Linked DNA regions of Danio rerio. The protein of the gene in region 2 interacts with the protein of the main gene of each other region in a pairwise test. Links are inferred from orthologs where the notes say so. Each region holds a gene or a part of one and is shown on either strand. Other genes may lie near its edges. The genes, in order: cct5 and znrd2.

The links.
Region 1: the proteins of znrd2 (region 2) and cct5 interact in binary tests that used the Homo sapiens proteins (3 or more experiments, as listed by UniProt). The two-hybrid records come from large-scale screens. The link is inferred for Danio rerio from reciprocal best matches to the Homo sapiens genes ZNRD2 and CCT5.

What each region holds. Positions count from the first base shown.
Region 1 is NC_133199.1:20,771,996-20,779,704, reverse strand, and holds the start of cct5 (T-complex protein 1 subunit epsilon), read right to left. Parts: upstream 4,956-7,709; 5' UTR 4,842-4,955; coding exon 4,737-4,841; intron 3,985-4,736; coding exon 3,924-3,984; intron 3,845-3,923; coding exon 3,680-3,844; intron 1,702-3,679; coding exon 1,503-1,701; intron 1,419-1,502; coding exon 1,226-1,418; intron 1,142-1,225; coding exon 992-1,141; intron 12-991; coding exon 1-11. Other genes in the region: mtrr (methionine synthase reductase), read left to right, coding at 6,616-6,759, 6,839-6,992. UniProt on the Homo sapiens protein: Component of the chaperonin-containing T-complex (TRiC), a molecular chaperone complex that assists the folding of actin, tubulin and other proteins upon ATP hydrolysis.
Region 2 is NC_133185.1:31,773,002-31,780,728, reverse strand, and holds the start of znrd2 (protein ZNRD2), read right to left. Parts: upstream 4,131-7,727; 5' UTR 4,062-4,130; coding exon 4,046-4,061; intron 2,398-4,045; coding exon 2,246-2,397; intron 1-2,245. Other genes in the region: solute carrier family 35 member F4, read right to left, coding at 5,824-6,068, 6,186-6,275. UniProt on the Homo sapiens protein: Might play a role in mitosis. Antigenic molecule. Could be a centromere-associated protein. May induce anti-centromere antibodies.

The DNA.
Region 1 (7,709 bases), on a different chromosome or scaffold from region 2:
TTCTCCTTGACCTTAAGATGAATTGTAAAGAAATTAAAGTAGAAGATTAAGTAACATTTTTCTTGAGAAAATTGAAGTAATGAAAAAAAAGTGCTGTAGCTTTAAAATAGCTCTTATTGCTCAAAATTAAAGATTGATGCTTTACTGAGGCAGGCTATTATGCAAATTAACAAAATAATAACAATAATAATAATTAGCATTTGTCATTTTTAAAAAGTACTTCCATACACTTTAACACACTTTATTAATGTTACATTTAAATGTATAGATTTTTTTTTTTTACATATATTGCTTAACACGTTTCATCTTTGACCTTAATAATAATAATAATAATAATAATAATTTGTAATAAAGAATGAAACAATTACATCCATATAAAATAAAAAATAATAATTTAATCAATATATCTGCATAAAGCCTGGTTTATACTTCTGCGTCAAGTGACCAGCGTAACCCACGGCGCATGCAATGTGCGTAGTCGTGCATTTATACTTCTGCGCGCTGTCTCTGTTGGTCAGCATTAACACTTCCGAAACGCTAGTTGGCAGTGAGGTGTTAATGTTCCTCTGTCTTAAGTTTCTTCGCTGGAGTTTTGCTTTTCCTGAACACTTCCTGTATGTACAAGTGGCTGTACTCATTTTGAGGCAGGAACCGGCGGACGTGCAACAACTTTAACTATGAGGTAAACACAAAACAACTTTCCATCTGGAGCTCCTTCATGGGACTCCACACTTGTAAACAATCGCTCCACTGGGCTCGCGCCGCTCGCATGGCTCTCAGTCCTGCCCAGACTCGTCAGCTTTACCAAGCCGACCAATCACAAAGCTTGCGATACGCGTCGATGCGACGTGTAGTTACATTTTTTGAGAGGCGCACGTCAGCGACGCCGACGGCCAGGGCTATGCGTTAACACCGAGCATACACATGCGTTTGAGGCAGAAGTATAAATCAGCCTTAAGAACCGCAAAACAAAAGCAGGCAATATACAAACCTGTCGGATCATTTCCTGAAACTTGTCCTTCTCGTACTTCTGCAGAGCTTTATAATCCTCCACTGATGTCACATCAAGCTTATGCTTGGTTTTGGGCTTGGGAGGCTCAAATGGGCAGGTGAGGATGGCAATTTTGGTGTCTTTGAGCACCTGGAAGAATGCACTAATAAATAAATAACCTAAAATATTAGAACCAGAGCATGCATGAAATGAACATTAACACTAAACACAAACCTTGGGCATCTGAGGGTGACTGAACTCTTTGTCCACAATGACACCTTTGATGAGCTGAGTGTCCTCTAGTTTACCACCAACCTTTCCTTCCACTTTAATGAGCTCAAAGTCCACATCCTTCCTCTCCATGTCTGCCACTGTCAGAATGGCATTGACAGCAATCTCTGCCATCTGTCTGTGGCACCGGTTGATCCTATAAACCAGGAAAAAATATTAATAATGAATATTCTCAGTAATTATCTGGTCAAATCAAACACGTAGTAACAGAAAAACTCACACTTTGGATCCTAGTGTGGTCATGGCTGTCTGAACGAGAGATTCTGTGTTGTTAGGATCCACAGGGAAACTATCACCGATTTTGTCGAGCTGTTCGATGGCGATCTTTGCGGCCTGATCATAACCATCTGCAATTCTGATGGGGTGAATGCCTCGGTCTAACAGCTGCTCTGCCTGCTCCAGAAGAGCTCCGGCCAGAACTACAGGACAAAACAAACATTACAGTAACTCAATAAGCAAGAAAATAAGACTTCAATCTGCTTGTCAATCGTGACGTATGAAATGTTTCCGGGTCCAAGCCACTACACGTTAGAATTGACAAAATATTTGTTTATGACCACTTTTTCAGTCATATTGAAAATAAAAGTGAATTTTATATGAAATCACGGTGTACACAACGGTCTCTGGACATGCTGCATCACAAACACCAATATTTAACAATTTACAAAAAATGTATTACTTTCTGATCATCGAATATTAGGCATGGATGTATTTATATATACACACTGCGATTTAGATTTTTTTTTAAAGTAAAAAATCACGTGAAAGTAAAGCCGCTTCACGTAAAGTCACACTTAACAAGCGGACAAACATAGTACATAAACACTTTTTACATTTAGGAATATGAACTATAGCCTACAGGTAGGCCTGCATGAAATCAACATGTCAAGCATTACAATAGTAAAAGTGTGATACAGCTTTAAATTGTTCTTTCTCTCTACATTTAAATGTACCCTGCTCAATTTTATTGTTTTTATTTTTTTTTTTTTACCATTATTTAAGATTTATTTCTTGTCACATCAGTAACAGTAATAAAAGTAACATATTACATATTGACAACTACATGCAGCAATAAGAGAAAACAAAACATTAAATATGATTTTTTCATTCTCCACTATATGGAGTAAGATTACAATATTATTTCACCAGTGGTTTTTATCAATTACTTGACAATTTAATTCAAACAGCAAAACAGTACGTCTTGCGTATAAACCTACATACACCTACTTATACATTCAATTTAGCCTTGTACTAATTTAATTACTAAAGTCCTTCATGCTATAACGAGTAAACACAAAACAAGTAAGAATAATTCATTAAAAAATAATTAGGGTGACATTTATATCTTAGAACATTTTCCCCCATTAAAGTGTCCAGTCTAGAAAAATGTTTAGCAGTTTTAGAAGCCTGACAAGAAATGATTAACTGTATATGCTTTACTATAATATTCAGATATGAAGTCAGAATCATTAGCCCCCCTTTGAATTTTTCTTTTTTTTTTCTATTTACTAAATGATGAACAGAGCAAGGAAATTTTCAGTGTTTGATATTTTTTTCTTTTGGAGAAAGTCATGTTTGATTTATTTCGGCTAGGATAAAAACAGTTTTTAATTAAAAAAAAAATATTTTAAGGTCAATATTATTAGCCCCTTAAAGCTATATTTTGTTTTAATACTCTACAGAACAAACCATCATTATACACTAACTTGCTTAATTACCCTAACCTGCCTAGTTAACCTAATTAACCAAGTTAAGCATTTAAATGTCACTTTAAGCTGTACAGAAGTGTCTTGAAAAATATCTAGTATAATATTATTTACTGTCATCATGGCAAAGATAAAATAAATCCGTTATTAGAATTGAGTTATTAAAACTATTGTTTAGAAATGTGTTAGAGATTTGTTAGAAATTGTGGTGTTAGAAATTTTATCTCTGTTAAACAAAAATTGGGCAAAAAAATAAACAGGGGGGCTAATAATTCAGGGGAACTAATAATTCTGACTTCAGCTGTATATTGTACATAAAGTATAAATATTGTAAATAGCATCCATATATCATATTAAAGTAAAGCATATATATCATACTTAGATCTGTAAAAGGACCTTTTATTATTAGATTTTGTATAAGCTGGGTCATTTCCCATAGCATATCATCTCCAGAACAGTATGCACACATGCTCATTTTTGTAATGGCACATAAAATGTACACACAGCTTGGAAAAGAGGATTTTTAAATTTTTTCTAATGTGCATTTCAATGTATTTGTAAGGCTGTACATTTATCCATGTTTATATACGAGCAAATCAATGCATTTAAACAAAGACAGAAAGAAAATGCTCTTGCTAGTGTTGTGGTTGTGTTTTAAAAGGGGAGAAGAAGAATATCAAGCTAAGCTCACCAACAACACCAGTGGTTCCATCTCCAATTTCATCATCTTGAGACTTGGAGAGCTCAACCATGAGCTTGGCAATCTGATGGTCCACATCCATCATGCTGAGGATCGTCGCACCATCATTGGTCACGGTCACCTCACCATCCTTATCCACCATCATCTTGTCAAGTCCTGTAAAGAACATTTACCAGCATTAAAAAAAACAGCATGAAATAAACTAGGAAGAGTACATGCAAAATTAAAAACATACCATTTGGACCTAGCGATGTTCTCAGGGTGTTAGCAACTGCTTTTGCTGCAAGAATGTGAGACTGAAGAGAACAGAAATAACATTGATGTCAGTAGATGCCACGCCAAGCTTATGCTTGGTTTTGGGCTTGGGAGGCTCAAATGGGTAGGCAAGAATGGCAATTTACGGTTTTAAGGGAAAGATAATGTGCATTTCTGGTAGAATATCTTATATAAATTTAATGTATATGTATGTATGTATATATAAACTAAAAATTTGTTAGTAAGGCGTGTCTCAAATAACAACCCAATCCTCTTTATAGGATTTTTGTCAAATAATAGAACTGAAACTATCATTATAAAACAAGGCAAGACACTGCAAGCCCCCAAAAAACACAACAAAAACATGCACCTGTCCGTTTAGAAAAGTTTGGCTTTTTGCAATTCTTTATGCAATCAAACAATTGGGGGAAGTAGAGTGATAGCTATCATCATTACTTATTTATTAACAACATTCAACTGAAGTATATTGCCACAAATAAAATGTGATGAAGACATGTCTGATGAATGAATGAAGGCATTGCGCATTATGACTCGACGTCTTTAGACTAGACTAGAGGAAGCACATGGACCATCCCTTGACATGCGCACATTGTTGATCACGTTAGACAAATAAATGTGCAATAACTGAATGCATTCTTAACATGTCAGACTGCAGAAGTACGTTTTCATAAAGAATCAATCTACAGTATACAGTAAATGCGGTATTCTGGATTACAGATATGATTAAAATCTCCGTTATAGCCCATTAGCCCGTTAGCTTTTGTAACGTTACCTTCAGTGCTTCCAGGCCAGTCAAGCGAGATTTCTTGTCCTGGTCCTTTATGATGATGAAAGGCCTTCCATATTCATCGAAGGCGAGAGTCCCAAGCGCGGACATGTTTAATTTCCACCCCAAAGAAATGCACAGTTATGAAAAGTGATGTTATACTAGAGAATTTAATCCTCTAGCTGCGCACCTCACCGCGCGGATCTGCCGGCTAGTTCTGGAAGAATCTCGGGGAGGGACGGACCAAACCAAGTTGACAATGTTAAAACATCCACATTTTTGTACATTACATTACCATTTAATCCCTAATTAAATAACAATATTAAACATTTAAGACAATTATGAAGGAGAAAAAGCAATTAACGAATCTTTAAATAATTTTTTTAAATTGAAGCATATTAATGGTTTATTCCATTCTCGCGATAACGACAACAAATAACGCGAGTGCGGGTACAGATTTATAATTCATGCAGATTGACTAACAAATAGACGTTACAAAATTGATTTGTGTATGTGCACACGTACAACTTGTGTATTTGAGAAAGGCCATGTGCTCGTCGTTGGTAACGTAATTTCCGATTACCTGTTCCTCCCGTTCATGCTTCTGACAGCACACCAGTGTGGATTTCAGTATGTTACATGACCGAAGAGGCTGTTTGTGTTGTTATTTGCAAAAGCAAGGTGACTTTTTTCTCTCTCCATCATTTACGTTTTACATTTGTGACCGACATTTGTTTTTGAAGTGTCTTTGTGAGGTCTACATGACTTTAAAGTTAGACTTGGTGAAGCTACAGCTTGTTTTGATATCTTTTTGGATATCTCTTATAAAACTTATGCAACATTCACATGATCAGGGTTGCTTGATTTCCGTTTGCACCTGTATATTATAATGATTCTTTTTACATTACAAACGTACACAGATTAGGTCATATTTAAAGTAAATTGTTTCATTATATCATACAGTACATACGTGTAATAAACTAAAAGAACTTCTCACAATCACAAAATGTAAATACAGAGGTTCCTTTAAAAAAACGAAGCTCATAAATAAACATTTCAATGAAAAAAAAGGTTAATTGAACATAAATGATCATATGCTATGCAACCTTCTTTTGGAATTTATTTATGTTTTGAATAATATATTTTATTGAATAATAATTATTAATAATTTTTAATAATTAACTAATTATTGTTTAAAAGCATATAAATAATACTTGTGTTTAGTATGTTAAATTATGATAATGTTCTAAAAATAATAAACCCTCATCAAGTAATGGCATATTTGCTTTTCCACATTTGCCCTCTACATTTAGGATTGGTTTTTGTTGATAAACGTGCCAGTATGCTTATTGACAAACCATTTCTACAAGTAACATGCATTTGAAAGTGGTTTATGCCTGTCAAATTAATTTACTTGTTTTAAAAACCTTTTTAGTACTGTTTATTTTAGAAATTCTGTAGATATGAATGTGGACAGAGTTTGAGCAATCATGAGATTTATAAAGTGATTAAGTAAAAATATACTTCATTAAATTTACTTGATTTCAGTTGACTAAATATGGTTGATATCTGCAGTTATGCTTTTTTTTTTTTAATTATTCATCAAATAAAAACTAGAAATGTATAAAAACAGATATATAAATCAGATTTTTAATGTGGATCATTTTGTGTTTTTCAATTCATTTCTCAATTCCTAAATTCATCAATAATAATAATGCAGTAAAAAGTATTTTATTTTTTACTTTATTAATGACAGTTTTATTATGAGAGTTCTGACTTTTATAAAACAGCACTTATTCTGGTTAATAATCACATATAGGTTTTTAATGCATTATGATGTCACATGCAGAAATATTTTTCCACATCTTTCTCAAGCTTTTATAATATGCCGTGTGAAGCTGCCGCTCACTTCTTAATTCTGTACGGATCTCAGCGTGGTCAGGCTCAGTCTATAGCAGAAGAGATCTGCCAACAAGCCGCTGAGCATGGATTTACAGCAGACATCAGCTGTCTGAGCAAGCATGACAAGGTATGCTGCTTCTTCACAGCAATTTTCAGGGATCTTGCACAAATCAGAGTTGGCTGATGTTGATCTTGAACATTCACAGTACAACCTAGACAGTGAAAGCCGCCCAGTCGTTTTTGTGGTTTCCACTACCGGTGATGGTGACCCTCCAGACACCGCTCTGAAGTTTGTAAGAAAAATCAAGAATAAATCTCTGCCACACGACCATCTTTCTCATCTGCGGTATGCACTGTTAGGTAAGCTGAACTTGCTGTTGGGTAAGAGTGAGCTCCACCTATGAGCAATTAGGTTGCTGCACACTGTAGCCAAAATGTGGCCCAAATCAGATTTTTTTTGTGCTCATGTTACTCAAATCTACTCCGATCATGACACACTGAACACCACAAACCAAATGGATGATGGAAAGTGATCTTTGAAATTTCGATTTGTGACACTTTCACATGTGGGATTTTTTGCAATGCGAATGCAGTCTAAATGCAGGGTATCTGTGGGATCTTAAATAGTCTTTATACGTCTTAAATTTCAAAAACAAAATTTTAGGCCTTAAAAAGTCTTAAATTTACAAAAATTTTGTGTTGTAGGTCTAAAATTATTTTAAACAGGTCTTAATTTTAAAAGTTGTTGATATAATGTTACCCAGTCGGGCCAAAACCCATCCATCCATCCATCCATCCATCCATCCATCCATCCATCTATCTATCTATCGATTTCTAAACAGCTGTTAGACATTTTGCAGAAAGTAAAGGAAGGCATAAAACTTGTGTTTTATAACAGAAACACATTGCAGTTGGTTGAATAGGAGTTCAATTAATTTGGACAAAAAGCAAACAAATATATATTTTTTGATTATTTGTGTAGTTCTTCATAATAAATATACCTTTAACAATGTTAAAATTGTTATAAAAAAAAGAAACGTGCTGAAAAAAGTCTATACAACTAGAATTTTTTTAGTT
Region 2 (7,727 bases):
GAAGTTTTGTTTTGCTTTAAACACTGTAATAAGTAATAACAATTAAAGTCTGTGAGAAAAAATGTACAATGATTATTTTGTTATTCTTTAGGTGAACAATGAATCCATGCTAATGATTTTTGCTTTGGTAGTCTGCATCTGCTTTTGGAGTGGCGGTCCGGCTCTGTTGATGTCAGTTTGACAGCTTCAGTCACAATATTTTTAGCCACGCCCCCCCTTACTGTTAGTTTCCTATGAAAAAATGTTGTGCAAAAAGAGAGCCCCGCCTCTACTCAATATTCCGTAAATATTCAATATTTAATACTATTTTTGTTGTTTGTGTACCATTAGATATTGCCTTACTGCATAGTTTTAACTAAAAGTAACAGTATTTTTTACTGATTAAACATGAAAATCATTGTAATTTTTCATTTAAATGTCTTTTTTTCTAAAATTGATTGATTTATAGATGTTGGATACTCAAAAAAAAATTGTTGTCAGACGAGACCTTGTAAAAATACAAAAGCAAAACAGCTGAATTACAGAAAGGCACTGCAGATAAATGCAAAAATACTAGATGTGGGCCATTAAGACTTCAGTCTTAAAACAAGGTAAACATTATAATGTTAAGGCATAAACGATATTATATCGTATGGCGATAACATTTTTGTCAATAACAATGACTTTTTTTACTTTTACTTTTTTACTCTATATAATCTAAGAGCCAATCAGGTACCAATTGATACTGAAAACGCACACTTCCCGTTAACAGTTGAGCGTGTTTTTAAGCAGTGCTGATTAGCCATTGTGTTGATATTAGGGATGCACCAAATTTACGTCCAGGTTATGCTATTTAATGTACCCTCTTATTTTTGGGGCTTTAGTCATTGTTGGGATACTCTTAAATCCAGAAGCAATAACAACTGAAATCAAAATATATATATATACACATGTATATCATTATTGTTTAATGTGGAAAATAATTAATTGATATTGTATTTTTACCATATCGCCCAGCAATATTGAGGCAGGTTTGTAAAATGTTGATTCATCATTCAAAAGAGGCGAACATGCATTTATTCAGTGCCTTTAAAAAGAAACAAAGTGGAAATGTGACGGGATTATTAAAAACAGGTTATTTTCGTTCAGTTATTTTCATTTTTTTGTTCAGTTATTTTCGGACATCCATGAAACACATTGTATTTTATAGCTTCATGATGAATAAACAGAGTACAGTGTTTATTTGCAACTGTAAACTTTATAAAAGTCTCAAAGCTCTCAATTTTGATCAAGTTAAAATGCATCCCAACTGCTGGCTCGGGAAAGCTGAATCAAATGAATCAATTTTGCAGACTGCATTAAACCATCTTTAAGAAATCAAAGTTTTATCCTAGATTCTGTCCTCTTATTTGACACACAGGTAGATGCAGTAGTTAAATCTTGGTTTTTTTCAGCTGAGATTATCAGCCAAAGTGAAAGGCTTTTTAAAAGGCTTCTTACTGGTACACGCAGGTTTGAACACATTACTCCTATCCCGTGTTTCCTAAATTGTGACCTAGAATTGAGTTTAAAATTTTAATGTCTGTTTTTAAGGTATTAAAAGGCCAGGCTCTGACTTATCTCTCTAATCTTATTAGTTCAAATATCTGCCATATGTTTAAGGTCATCGAACCAGAAAATGCTAGTAGTTCCCAGATCCAAATTGAATAAAAAAAGAAGATTGAGCTTTCTCTGTAGTAAGTCCTAAAGTGTGGAACAGGCTACCTTCGTCCATTAGAAAAGTTTCTATTGAATCTTTGTTCAGAGGGAAACTTAAACTACACCTCCTTGAAATAGCTTTTAAATTGGGAGAAAATTAATCCTATTGTACCTATCTGGTCGCTTGTTATGTATCTATGATGCTGTGTGGTATGTTGGATGTATTCTATGTTGTTTTACTTGTTGCTGTCTATTTTTGATCATTTGCTTTTAGGTTTGTACAGCACAATGGTCAACAACTTAAAAATTTTTTTTTTATTACGCTTTGTAAATAAATAAACTAAACTAATTAAAAACATTATTAAACTTTCAGACATTCTGAACTGAAAATATTGCACGTCATCTTTTGTCATTATCGCAAGTTTTAATATTCAAACATGGCTACAACTTAACAACACAGTACCTCACTGCATATTTAATAATTAAATTAAGGCTCTAGCTTGTATTGCACTAAATAAAACACAGATTTGATTGGAGTCTCCTATGAGTGTATGGTGTTTTCTCTCACCCCGCACAGCTCACAGCACTCGCCCAGCATCTTGTACCCCTTCAGCAGATAGTCTCCCATCAGCTTGCTGATCTTATCCTGCCGCTCCCGGCGAGCCTGAATCACCTTCATCTCTGCTTCAGAGGGAGGCTCCCATTCAAAGTCTTCATCATCTGGATTCAGGAAAACACACACAGAATGCTCTTGTTTATGGACGAATGCTCATTTAATTCACACACCCACTTAAGCACTTTCCAGGTGTTTTAAAACTTTTTCAGTACTTTATAAAGTGTGGAAAATTACATATTTACATACGTCTGCACACCTCATCACATTAATTATATTTAGAAAAAAATCCTTTCTATAAAGATTGGTGGGAGAGAGGTATTTGGTTGAGTGTCCATCTATTAAACAAAGAGGGTGAGGTTCTGAGTTACTGGAAATTTTTGTGAAAAATATAACTTTGAATGTGATCATAAGCAATTCAATAGGGTATTGAAATCTATTCTGAAGGCATTTGTAATAATGGTTAGTACTGTGGCCCCCAATAAAAATGACGTACCTTATTTGCTGATGAATGGAGAAGATTTTATTCAGAGTGTATTCAGATAATAAGCTCTATTATCGAATTAGGGAATATGTTCCTTTCCTTCCCCATACCTCCTCAAAGCTAAAGAAGTACACTTTAAAATATTCAATGATATTTAACCATCTGCAGAGACTGTATATTTATTTTTGACTGTTTATACAGCAGAACCTTCTAGACAAATTCATTTGAGTGGTTAAAAGTTTCTCTCAAGATGTCCTCCCAATTTTCTAAAAATGATATTATCTTTGGTTTATTAGGGGAAGATATTAATATTCAAGTTGTATTGAACAATATTCTAATTTTGGAGAAATTTTATGTTCATAAATGCAAGTGCCTGAAAACAAAACCACTGTTTTGGGTTTTCCAAAAGGAATTTTGGTTATACTGTAAAGCTTTAAAGTTGGTAAAATCAAAATTAGGAAGTTCAGTTTATTGAAAACATTTTAATTAATAGACGACCAGGTAGTTCTTTTTTGAATGTGTTTGTGTGTCTATTCTGTTTAAAGTTGTATTTATTTATATTATAATCTTATTGATTTGATTATTATTTGTGCTCTGTTCTGTAGTTGTTAATTAAATTTGTGCTATATGCAAAAAAAAAAAAAAAACACTTCATCACATTATATCAGAAGCTATTCTAGAGTATAGTACAGTAAATTATAGTATAATTAATATACTATGTGAAAAATTTCGTTTTTAATTTTATTTTTTTAGCTTTAATAAAAGGAAAATATGTGATAGCAGGTTTGATCCAACCCCAACATTTAGTTATGCTGTCATCCATTTACATATCTTTATTATAATTAATTTATTCATACTATTATTACCAGCTTAGTAAGATAAATTATTATGAAAGGAACAATCGCATTTTAAAGTACTTTATCCATAATCTAAGTACATTTTAAACCTTGAAACACAAGAGTAAAATTCCAGCATTTAAAGTATTTTCAGCACCCGTGCGATTCCTGTACGTGGAACTTTACGAGTCAATAATAGGCAAAGACACAGAGAAAGCTCGATATTTTAAATGAAATAAAAGCCACATGCCAGTACAGAAATGCAGACAGTGAGGGGCTAACCTGCTAACGTAACATGATGTTATTTTAGCGCAGCTGCACGTGTACTAACGTTACTATAGCACGACTGGAGGTTAGTGATTAAGGGTTATTTCGGTACTAAATTGGGGAGTTTAACAAGAGATTTGTCTAAATGTGAGTTTATTGACATTTTACCTGCGTTAAGGGCCATGCTTTCTTCATCAGCCGCCTCACAACACAGATAACGTTTCCTGCTCGAAACTTCAGCGGTGAAATGTGGAAGGTGCTATGAAAACTGACTGGCGCCATCTAGCGAGCTGAATGTAGGTCCTATTGCTCAGTTTTTTCCCCTTCATTCTGAAAATCTCAGGATTATTTGTTTCGTTCGGAAAAAAAAATCTGGATTTAGACACATAAAAAAATACATAGTTTATGCTGGAAAATAAAGAATGTTCTTCACTATCTCTTGGTTTCCAGTCAACTAAATATTCTAACTACCTGCTTGATTTGTTTAACTGATAATATGCAGTTACGCCTCTCTCTAGCCCTAGACATCTGGGGTCTTAACAATGCAGAAAATAACATTTTATAATGAAAGTGGATTTTGAAAAAAATTCAAAAGGCTCCTAAACAATAAAATCACTCCTTCTGCACAACTCTATAATTTATTTTTAAACATTACCATCACTGCATCAGGTTAATATTAGCCTAATTAATACATAGTTAATGTGAATAAAGAAAATCACTTTGATTTCATAGTTTACTTTGACCAATAGGTGATGCTGTTACCAAACTAGTGTAGTGTGGCGTTGTCAGTCTTGCAAAGATACAGCCTCAGGTGTTGGTGTTGCCAGCATGGTTTGGAAATGTGTAGTTCACACAGTCTTATGGTGAGAAAAAGTAAAGTTTGGGATTTTCATCAGGGCTCAAACTGTGCAAATCATCACTGGTTATGGTTAACACACAACAGTTGTGGACAAATAGCATTAGCTTTGTCAGCTATATTACCGTATGTGAAAAACGGTATGTGTGCTATAGTATTACACCCAAACCAGTTGACAGATGAGAATACTAAGAAGTTCGCACATGATGGACACTTCACTACCTTATGAGCCCACAGAAGAGGGTTTATTAATGGAAAAATACAAAATGACTGAAAACATATGACGAATGATAACTTTTCTTAATTCGTTGCAAAAATCTAATTGTCCTCACTATTTAGTATTTACTTATCCTCAAGTGGTTATAAACCTTTCTGAGTTTCTTGACAACAAAATAAGTAATTTTGAAGAAAACTAAAAACCCGTAGCCATTGACTTCCACAGCAAGCAAATTCCATAGTGTCTTACTACACAAATCATTGCAATTTCTCATATTAAACAGGTTTAAACAAGTGAAGGGAGAGTAAATGATGACAGACTTCTCATTTTTAGGTGAACTATGCTTTGAAGCCAAGAAATTAGAGGAGACAATAATTACATTTTTATTAGTTCTTACAGTTTCAAAGGTATTAGCACAAACGTTCATGCAAATTTGAACAGCACTAGAGGGATTAAGGTTGGAGACTTCAAAACTGATAATGTTCCTTCATTCACTTTCCTTCGGCTTAATCCCTGTATTTATCAGGGGTCGCCACAGCGGAATGAACTGTCAACTATTCCAGTGTGTTTTACGCAGCAGATGCCCTTCCAGCCACAACCCAGTACTCAGAAATTGGATAATATTAAAACTTCATTCCTACAGATTTTATAAAAAAAAAATATTTAAAAATATTTTATAAGTCACCAGCACTCATGTAGGTTTCAACAAAGTATTCAAATATGGTAAAACCATTAAAAACATACTAGGAACAGTTCCTAAATAAACCATTCATATCTTAGAAGGACAGGTTAAAATCCAAAGAACATTGAAAAGTCTTTGTTTTCTTCAAGGATTTAATGAAGCCAAAAAAATCCTGCATTTTTAAGGCTCAGCTAGAGAGTCACTACGGCTGGTTTGGCTTTTGTTCGTAAAGTCCCAGCAGTGTCCACCATAGATTCCTCTCCAACAATACTGTCCTCTCGCCAGTTTCCACGCCACAGTGCGCTGAGCCAGCGGAAAGTGCTCTCATCCCAGTTTTCTGGAAGCTGCAGCATCAGATATCCAGCTGAGATGATGCCGGCGGCCGCTGCTCGCACATGGCTGATCTGCAGAGTTAACGTCACTAAGCCATCCACAGCTTATGAGAAAGAGAAGAAAGCGCTATATTCAATTATCAGACAATAAATGATGTTCTCTTTGTGTTTAGCAAGATAATTAAAATGTTTACTTGTCAATTTATTTCCATGAAAAATACCTGCACTTGCTGGGATTGTCAAGAGAATTCCCAGGGAAATTAAACTGGGGTACGTAAACATTTCTCCCAGATTTACCAGCAGATTGAAAACTTAAATAAAAACATAAAGACAAAGTTTGTTAAAGAGAACAACTAAAAATCTGATCACTACAAATGATGACAAATAACATTAATAAAGCATAGAGTTATATAGAGGTAAATGATTTTATTGTATACTATTGTTTAACACTCAGTGCCAATCAAAAACTGCACATAAATGTATAGTTAAAGTCAAAATTATTCACCCTCCAGTGAATTTTTTCTTCTTCAAACATTTCCCAAATTATATTTAACAGAGCAAGAACTTTTACAGTTTTTACAATATTTCCTTGAACATTTTTTTTCTACTGGAGAAAGACTTTTGTTATTTCGGCTATAATAAAAACAGTTTTTAATTTCTTAAAAAACATTTAAGGTTAATACAGGCTTTCTGCAGGTTTCAACAAGTCAAATTTAAGACTTTTTAAGACCCTTTTAAGACCGTTTTGAATGAAATTTTTAGACTTATACAGGGCTAAACACTAAAGTTTTTTTTTGTAATGGTCTGGTTGTTGTTGCTTATTTGAATTTGTCAAAACAAGAAAACTCTAGTTGTACATACTTTTTATTTTTTTATTGTTATTTATTTTTAAAAGACAAGTTTAACCATTGTTAATAGTTTATTTATTACGGACACAATTACATGAATGATCAAAAATATATATTTGTGGCTATTTGTCTGAATGGATTGAGTATAACTTCTATTCAACCCAATAATTTTCGGCTATATAAAACCTTGCCTATTCCTTGCCTGTTTATGAATATTACGTCTGCTTCCCCTTACTTTTGTACATAGTTTTTGTGTAACTGGAAAATCATGTAAAGGGACATATAGCTCTGTTATTATCATGTGGAATGTAATAATTGTTTTTAGGTTTCTTTCCCTGATTAGAGAATTACATTTTGACAATTTGCTGTAAAAATTTCTGTTGTCGATTGTATCTCTATGCAATAATAAAACTTATATTATATTATTGGTGATTAGATGGATGTTGGACTTATTGGGTAGCTTTACTTGGACAGAGGAAAATTAAGACCTGTTAAAAATGTTTTAAGACCTACAACACAAAATTTCAGTGAATTAAATACTTTTTAAGGCCTACACTTTTGCTTTTTAAGACCCCGCAGACACCCTGTTGATATTATTACCCCTCTTAAGGAATACTTTTTCGATTCTCTACAAAACAAACCACTGTTAGACAATGACTTGCCTAATTACTCTAAAAAATTACTGTTCAATTTAATTCAATTCATGTTTATTTCTATAGCGCTTTTCCAATGTAGATTGTGTATAAGCAGCTTAACATAGAAGTTCAAGTAAATTAAAACTGTCAGTCCAGTTTTCAGAGTTGAAGTTCAGTTTAGTTCAGTTCAGTGTGGTTTAATTTTCAATGCTGAAAGTCCAAAGACTGAAGAGCAAATCCATCGATGCACAGCTCTATGAGTCCCAACCAAGCAAGTCAG